Linked DNA regions of Rattus norvegicus. Each later gene encodes a partner of the first gene's protein in a complex. Links are inferred from orthologs where the notes say so. Each region holds a gene or a part of one and is shown in the gene's direction. Other genes may lie near its edges. The genes, in order: Tnnt2 and Tnni3.

What was found.
Region 2: the proteins of Tnnt2 (region 1) and Tnni3 are in contact, whole or in part, in a crystal structure (PDB 4Y99), measured with the Homo sapiens proteins. The link is inferred for Rattus norvegicus from reciprocal best matches to the Homo sapiens genes TNNT2 and TNNI3. Residues at the interface, in NP_001263274.1 of Homo sapiens: Glu214, Lys217, Lys218, Ile221, Leu222, Arg225, Arg226, Lys227, Leu229, Ile231, Asp232, Leu234, Asn235, Glu236, Leu239, Arg240, Ala243, Lys244, Leu246, Trp247, Ile250, Tyr251, Leu253, Glu254, Ala255, Glu256, Lys257, Phe258, Asp259, Leu260; in NP_000354.4 of Homo sapiens: Arg68, Glu71, Lys72, Ala75, Leu76, Arg79, Gln81, Pro82, Leu83, Leu85, Leu88, Gly89, Phe90, Leu93, Gln94, Leu96, Arg98, Leu100, His101, Arg103, Val104, Asp105, Val107, Asp108, Glu109, Glu110, Arg111, Tyr112, Asp113, Ile114.

What each region holds. Positions count from the first base shown.
Region 1 is NC_086031.1:49,829,007-49,832,811, forward strand, and holds part of Tnnt2 (troponin T, cardiac muscle), read left to right. Parts: intron 1-684; exon of another isoform or gene 685-726; coding exon 727-813; intron 814-1,087; coding exon 1,088-1,123; intron 1,124-1,914; coding exon 1,915-1,948; intron 1,949-2,854; coding exon 2,855-2,918; intron 2,919-3,115; coding exon 3,116-3,232; intron 3,233-3,805. UniProt on the Homo sapiens protein: Troponin T is the tropomyosin-binding subunit of troponin, the thin filament regulatory complex which confers calcium-sensitivity to striated muscle actomyosin ATPase activity.
Region 2 is NC_086019.1:78,341,129-78,345,429, forward strand, and holds the start of Tnni3 (troponin I, cardiac muscle), read left to right. Parts: upstream 1-1,442; 5' UTR 1,443-1,546; coding exon 1,547-1,557; exon of another isoform or gene 1,558-1,662; coding exon of another isoform or gene 1,663-1,703; intron 1,704-1,817; coding exon 1,818-1,830; intron 1,831-1,999; coding exon 2,000-2,086; intron 2,087-2,173; exon of another isoform or gene 2,174-2,338; coding exon of another isoform or gene 2,339-2,392; intron 2,393-2,497; coding exon 2,498-2,539; intron 2,540-2,831; coding exon 2,832-2,963; intron 2,964-3,399; coding exon 3,400-3,489; intron 3,490-3,955; coding exon 3,956-4,132; intron 4,133-4,301. Other genes in the region: Dnaaf3 (dynein axonemal assembly factor 3), read left to right, coding at 1-572. UniProt on the Homo sapiens protein: Troponin I is the inhibitory subunit of troponin, the thin filament regulatory complex which confers calcium-sensitivity to striated muscle actomyosin ATPase activity.

The sequences.
Region 1 (3,805 bases):
TATTTATCTATTTATCTATTTACCTATATATCTATATGTCTATATGTCTATATATCTATATATCTATATATTTATTTATCTATATATCTATATGTCTATTATCTATCTATTTATCTATATATCTACATGTCTATTTATCTATATATCTATATACCTATATACCTATATATCTATCTGTAACTCTATCTCTCTACCTTTCTATCTCTATCTCTATATCTATAATCTATATATCTATATCTATATCTATATCTATATCTATATCTATATCTATCTATATATCTACACTAGGGAAGACTGAACTCAAATTTCCAAACTCCCAGGGAGGCAAATTTGGGACACTTACCAGTCAGCTGGGACCCTTCTGTTGGGTTTCACTTTTCCTGCAAAGGAGCAGACCGCGAATACTGTGGGCATGCAGGCCCATAGTCCCTGGGGGCACTGACCTACGAGTGGGGTTGAGACGTGGGTGAGAGTGCAGATGAGTGGGTGAGGCCATATGGATCTTTGCAGAAATAGTCCTGGGCTGGGTGTGGCTTTGCGATCCAGTTTGAACCAGGAGCCAAGCAGCATTCCTTCTGTCCTTTGGGTCCGTGGCTCCCGTATGTTGTGAACCCAGATGTCACTGGCTCTGTTCTACCGTGCCTGGTGTGATCTCTGTTCTGGGGTTGCTGTCTGCATGTTGAGAGAGGGGCCTGGTTGATCTTGGTGTCTGTTTCACCTCTCCAGAGCAAGAGGAGGCAGTGGAGGAGGAGGATGGTGAGGCCGAGCCTGATCCCGAGGGTGAGGCAGAGGCAGAGGAGGACAAGGCAGAAGGTACAACCCAGGGTGAGGGGCTGAGGGGCCGGGAGGGCCGGTGTTTTAAGAAGTCGTCCAGCAGGTGCTTGCTAGCTTGTGTGCCTGAGATCCCTGTCTGGGCTGGGAGGCAGCAGCCTGTTGTCTGGCTGAAATTTGTCAATCCAGAGCTTCTTTGGTGGTTGACCATACAAATCAGCAGGGTAGCCTGCCTGACCATGGGAAACATCCATCACTCTTGAGGGGAAAATTGAGCTGGAACGGGACCTCTGTTGATTGCTCATGTTTTGTTTAGAGGTTGGTCCTGATGAAGAAGCCAGAGATGCTGAAGGTAAGTGATGCTGGGCATCAGCACGAGAGAACCCCTCAGAGTAGACTTGGGTAAAACCACCCAGGGATTCCGGTATAACCAGAAGTTATACAGGTAAGGGTTGGAAGGCAGAACTTGGGGGTACGTGCAGGGCTTGGGGAACTCTAAACCCTTGTCTTCTTCATCTCAGAGAAATGGCCTTAGTGTCCAACAGGAGAGGGAACCAGTGTCTAGTCCCTGGCGTGTGCAGGGTAGTGCTCTTAGAAGTAACATTCGCACCTGACGCTCCTGGTACCCAGGCTATGCCAGTGAGGTCTGATGTTTGGAGGAACGACTTCCAAGACATCATGGTCCATGCTGTGGCATCATGGTCCTGGTCAGGCTATAGTCTCTGTCAGCTGTCTCCAGTCACACATACCTAGGGCAGGAGGGCAGCCTTGGAATCATGACCACTAACTCTTCTGGCCCTGTGGCCATCAGCAAGTCCAAGGTTCAAAACATTAGGCCTGAGAGGAATTCTAGGGTCAGGGCCCCTGGGGCCTTCCCACAGGACTGTGCATTACTGCAATGTCTGAGAAGTAATCTTCCTAACCCTGAACAGGCAAGTATCCTGGGCCTGTAAACACAGCCAGCCATTCTCTGTGACCTTACCTCCAGGTCACCTTCATGCCTGTTGGTGATTATGGAAGTCTAGACTTACAGGAGAGGCCTCCTGTGCAGATAGGGAGACAGAGGCCCACAGGTGTCCAGCTCAGGGTGGAGCTGGCAATATTCAGGTTTTCTGACCCCATACACCCTTCTCTCTCCTCCAGATGGTCCAGTAGAGGACTCCAAACCCAAGCCCAGGTGAGCAGGATGCCTTATCTATGCCCAGTGAGGCCAGTGAGGGAGGGTGACCAGGAAGGGATAGGAGTGCATTCGCACACGCGCAGGTGCTGTGGTTAGCACAGACTTCCACAGAGAGCTGAACAGGTTGTGCACTGCACAAGAACCTCTGGCTGACGGGAGGAATGGGAGCTGAACTTTGCCTTGACCTCACTACCTTTTATTTACACTAACATGGAGGGAGGTACAGTCATCTACAGAGTGGGGAAGGGCTAGTCATGGCCACAGGACGACTTCTCTCTTTGCTGGGTTGGTACCTAGGGGAGAAGTGACATAAACGTTGTGGAACCAAGCAGTGATACTGTGCCATGTCCCAGGGATGACAGCTCCAGGGAGCTGCAAAAGGGCAGAGCAGGGCAGCTTCAGCCCATACCTGGAACCACATCTGGTGGCTGTGAGTAGGGCCATCGAGATAGGGAGCACTTCCTTTGGCAATGTTTATCCTGCCAGCAGATGGCGCCATAGTGCCCTCGTGGCCTTTAGTGGCTCCTACCAATCATATCCCTGTTAGTCCCTGGGTGCTCTGTGTATCCTGGAGCATCTCCTTTTAGCTGAAGGCCCATGAAAATATGAGGAAATCAAGGATCAGAGCGCCACTAGGGACACCATCTTAGCTTAGTACTTCTGCTTCCTAACTGTGTAGTTTTAAGCCTTGGTTTTCCTAGTGGAGGTCAGCACTGTCCCCTCCAGGGATTTAGTGAGAGGACAAAATGAAATTACCTTGGTTGCTGTCTGAGCAAGTGAGGTAGACACTGGTGTGGACATTATGACAGAGGTGAACATTCCTGCCGGACAAAGGCCCCAGAGGCTCCAGGAACGCATCCCCAGTGGCTTTGGTGACCCCTGACTCTCCATTCCTCTCTGCAGCAGGCTCTTCATGCCCAACTTGGTGCCACCCAAGATCCCTGACGGAGAGAGAGTGGACTTTGATGTGAGTGGTGGCTCTGTGGGGGAGCGAGGCAGGCGGGGGTGATAACAAGAGCTCTCCTAAGAGCGAAAGAGCTCCTGATTGGCCGTTGGCAGGATGGTTTAGGTTCAGGTTCAGGCGCCAAACCAAGGCACTACCTTTTGCACTGAGCCCGCCCATTTCATGGGCGTGGCAGGCTCTCAGGCAGACCCTCCCCACAGGACATCCACAGGAAGCGCATGGAGAAGGACCTGAACGAGCTGCAGACTCTGATCGAGGCTCACTTCGAGAACAGGAAGAAGGAGGAAGAGGAGCTCATTTCTCTCAAAGACAGGATCGTACGTGCCAATCTTCCACAGTTCGCCCTGTTCTTCCCCTGCAGCCTGCCTCAAGCTGCCAACCTGTTGGGTACTTCTCTGTTGGGCCCCTGCCACCTGCCTCTCAGTGTGGATGCTCCTTGCCAACAGGAACTGGATCTGATAAGTTCTGGTTCTGGCTGGGCCTAACCAGGCACCACTGGCTGTGGACTACAGACCAGGCAAATGTCTGTGCTCTCCCTGTCCCTGACCCATCAGTCATAGGTGCTTCACTAGATGGGGAGCATGGGATCGGTTTCTGGAAACCTAGACGACACCCAGAATTCCATTCTGAGAGAGGAGATTATCTGCTTCCTTGTTAGTCTGTACCTCTAACCACCTACTTTCCTCAAATGGGCATGCCAGCCATACGTCTTAGAGCACAGAGAAGCTGTCCGGGCCGGGGCCGGAGCTGGGGCTGGGGCTGGGTTCCGGGGCCAGAGGTGGGTCCCGGGCCCGGGCAGGGGCTGGGGCCCGGGCCGGGGCGGGGGCTGGGGCCGGGGCCGGAGCTGGGGCTGGGGCTGGGGCTGGGGCTGGGGCTGGGGCTGGGGCGGG
Region 2 (4,301 bases), on another chromosome or scaffold:
CGATAAACCCACCCCAGGCTGACCAGGCCCCATCTCTAGAGGTGATGAGCCCTCCAAAGGTTGACCAGACTCCGCCTCTAGAGGCTATGAGCCCACCCGAGGCTGACCAGGCCCCTCCTCTAGAAGCAATTAGCCCATCCCAGACTGACTCAGCCCCTCCTCTAGAGGCAATGAACCCACCTCAGACTGACCAGACCCCATCTCTAGAATTGATGAGCCCACCCCAGACTGACCAGACCCTGCCTCTAGAGGAAATGAGCCCACCCCAGGCTGGCCAGTCCCCATCTCTAGAATTGATGAGCCCAACCCGGGCTGACCAGACCCCTTCTCTAGAAGCAATTAGCTTATCCCAGGCTGACCAGGCCACATCTCTAGAGGCGATGAGCCCACCCAGAGCTGACCAGATTCCACCTCTAGAGGCGATGAGCCCACTTCAGGCTGAGGTAGTCCTGCCTCTAGAAGCAATCAGTCCTCCCCAAGCAGACCTGGCCCCTCCTCCGGAAGTGATAAGTCCAGTCCAGGAAGCTTTGGCAATGTCCTCGGCGATTGCACCTCTAAAACATGTAACATGAACCGCGGGGACCAAGAATCCTACCTTTAACTGCTGAAGCAGGCTCCAGGACTGACACCAGCTCAGCCCACTGTTTTACTCTGCGTTCCTTCTCAACCCCAGTGATATAACTAGAATTTCAAATTCCTTTCCTTGAACTCTCAGTTCTAGTCTTTTTTGGGGTGTGTGTGTCTTAGATCATAATCTAAGATTTATCCTGACAAGAATCCCAGGCCAGAGGTACAACCCTGGGCTCCACATCCTCTTTTGCCTTGGGCCTTTCTTGACATGCTACTGTTGGAGGGACAAGGACATATCCTCCCTTGGATGCGGTTCAAATAAAGAGCGCAGGGTCACCTCTGTGTGTCCTGTCCTCTGTTGGTCTCCAGTGCCAAGAAGGGGGTGGGACAAGGGGGGATGGGCCCCGGATGGTGGGTTTCCAAGTGGACTTGGCTGAATTTCACATCAGTGTAGGCTGAGGACTTAGGGTCCTGCACATGAACCTTTAAACTAAACATGCTAAGGGCAGTGAAACTGACAGAAACATGGAGAGAAAAGTCACAGAAAGACTACATTTTAGTGAGGAACCTACATGTGAGGAAAGAAGGAAGGCCTGGATTTTTGGGTAATCTACACAGGAAACTGAAGTCTGGACTCTTGGATTTGAGAGAAGAGGGACCTTGCTACTGGGTTTTCCTGAGTCTAAAGGAGAAGGGAGCTGGGGCCCAGAGTCAAAAGGAGGAGGGGTGTAGATCCGGGCACCTTGGTTGGTCTAACTGGAGCTTTGCACACGGCTCCCCTCACACCCTGTTATCGCTCATCCTGGGAAGGGGAGGAGACAGCAGTATATTTAGTCTTTGTCCTCGCCCCTTATCTCAGTGTCCTCAGTGAGGCTTGAGCAGCACAGAGGGGACCCAACCCTCCAAGGTCACCAGGGACACCCTTCTAAGACCCTCCAGGAATCTGCAATCCCATTCTCTACCTCTGGAGATCAGCATGGCGGATGAGTATGTGAACCTTGGTAACCTTGAACTGGAGACCCCAAGGAACACGGTGCAGTCAGCCTTCAGGGTCCTTGTGAGGGTGCAACTAGGTTGAATTCTTGTCCTGAGATGGTAGGAGGCAAGGGTGGTTGGATTTCTGTAGAAATGAGGTAAGAATTCGGGAATCAGACTCCTGGGGTCTAAGGGAGTAGAAAAGGTAGCCCCAACCTTGTTCAGGAGGACTGCTGTCAATGATTCTATCTTCACGGTTTCTCTCCCTTCAGGAGCAGCGATGCGGTGAGCACTGTGACCTAAGAAGTGGGGTAGGGAACCCGTGGCCCAGAGAGGGTGCTGCAGGGAGAGGACTGGGGACCGATGGGCAGGGGAATCTGCAGCTAGAGGTGAGGAATCCGGGAAGGACTGGATGGGAGGGTTGGGGTAGTAATGTAGCCTGCTTCAATTTCAGGCTGGGGAACCCCAGCCGGCGCCTGCTCCTGTCCGACGTCGCTCCTCGGCCAACTACCGAGCCTATGCCACCGAGCCACATGCCAAGGTGGGGAGGGGTCCTAGAGGACGGTACTTCTGGGTTCAGAATCCTCTGGGACCCCAGGGGCGGCACCAAGGCCTTGGAAAGGGGTGGAGCCCGATGGGTGGGGCAGAATTTCAAAGAGGTACAGGTTGGGGTTGGTGACAGCTGCCTGTGGGAGAAACTCCTCTGCCTACAGCAAGGCATAGGCGTGAGCACGGTGATTAGCAGTGGATAGATAGGCAGTGTGTAGCTCTAGTCAGAGACAAAGATTGGTGGATGGGACCGAAGGACGTGGCTTCCAGTGGACTCAGCATTCTGGTTGAAGAATGGGTGAGCCGAATGGTTATGCACTTGAGTGGGTGGTGGTGCCTTGCAGCCCCGCCCAATGTCCACTTTGGGACCTCTCACTGACCTTTCTCCCTATCACCCTGGCAGAAAAAGTCTAAGATCTCCGCCTCCAGAAAACTTCAGTTGAAGGTGATGAAGAGCTCGGAGGGGTGGGCCTTGGTGGGCGGAGCTTTTGGGGAGTGGTTTCGTTTCGGAGTGCGTCAGTCCCCCTACACACACACACACACACACACACACACACACACACACACACACGTGCGCGTGCACAGAACACAGAAACGGGGAAGGTTTTTTTTTTTTAATAAAAGACACAAACTTGGATGTTTGGATATTCTGTCTCTCTGGAAGATAGCGAGATAGAGGGAAATTTGTTATTCTTATACTTTCGGGGACCCTGTTTTCGGCTCCCACCATTCCGCAGACTCTGATGCTGCAGATTGCGAAGCAGGAGATGGAGCGTGAGGCAGAGGAGCGACGTGGAGAGAAGGGCCGCGTTCTGAGCACGCGTTGCCAGCCCTTGGTGTTGGATGGGCTGGGCTTTGAAGAGCTTCAGGTATCAGTTTACCAAGCAGGAATTCCTGATGAGCCTGGGTCCCGATGTTTCTCATCTCGGCCCTGGCATCTCTTGGGTATCAGGAGCACAAGAACCATCCCCAGTTCTGCTCAGGATCTGCAATCCTTATGCCAAGCTATACATTCAGTCTTACAATTCAAAATCCAGTGTATTTTTCCTGCCTTTGTCTGCTAAGTCTCAGAATTCTTGGCTCCTGGCCATTTTTTTTTTTAAGTTCCCTAGAGTGCGGATTCCAGTGTCAGCTTCCTTTCACCCCCTCCTTCTTCAGACTCAGGAGTCCAGACCCCAGCACTCCTCTCTCAAACTCAGGGGTCCAGAGCCTAGGCCTCCTTCCTCAGACCGGGAGGTCTCCTTTCTCAGATCAGAGACCTGAGTCTCCAGCCTTCCTCTCAACGCCCATGCATTCCTTCACCAGGACCTATGCCGGCAGCTTCACGCTCGTGTGGACAAAGTGGATGAAGAGAGATACGACGTGGAAGCAAAAGTCACCAAGAACATCACTGAGGTGGGAAGCCTGGGGAAGTCTGAGCACCTTCACTGTAGACCGAGATGTCCAGGACTGTAGCTTCAGACTGAGGGCTATGTCTGTGTGTACTTTAGACAACTCTAAGCAGAAGGCAGGCAGTGGCAAAGGCAGCTGTTCCCACAGAGAGACAACACGTGCAAGGTAGAACCTGGGTGGCTTAAATCGGTCTGTAGAAACTGAGCACTGAGTTGGGCTCTGGGAATAATGATCTGCACATCATTGGGCCAGGTCGTGTTAGAGGCTTTGATTGATGGGACTCGGAGTATCAGGAAGAGCACAAAGTTGCAGATTGGAGCCTTTAATCTGGAGTCAGAGCTGGAAGAGAGGAGGAAGCTTAGATACTGAGAGCAAGATAGGGATAAGGGGGAATTGTTTGTTAGAAGCTATGGGTAGGGAGGAAGCAGAGGGAAGACGCGGTCTCCTTGCCCCATATGGTGGTTCCCAGATTGCAGATCTGACCCAGAAGATCTATGACCTGCGTGGCAAGTTTAAGCGGCCCACTCTCCGAAGAGTGAGAATCTCAGCAGATGCCATGATGCAGGCACTACTGGGGACCCGGGCCAAGGAATCCTTGGACCTGAGGGCCCACCTCAAGCAGGTGAAGAAGGAGGACATTGAGAAGGTGAGTGTGGGCTAGGGTAAGAAGGAAGATGCTTGGGAAGGTCTGAGTGGCCATAAGGTCCAGACAGAGAGCAGACACATTTGGGGTTCTAGTGAGAAGCTACGGATAAAGGGAACTCAAGAACTCAGAAGGGAGGACAGTTCATTAGGGAGAGAAGAAGTAGCAAGGG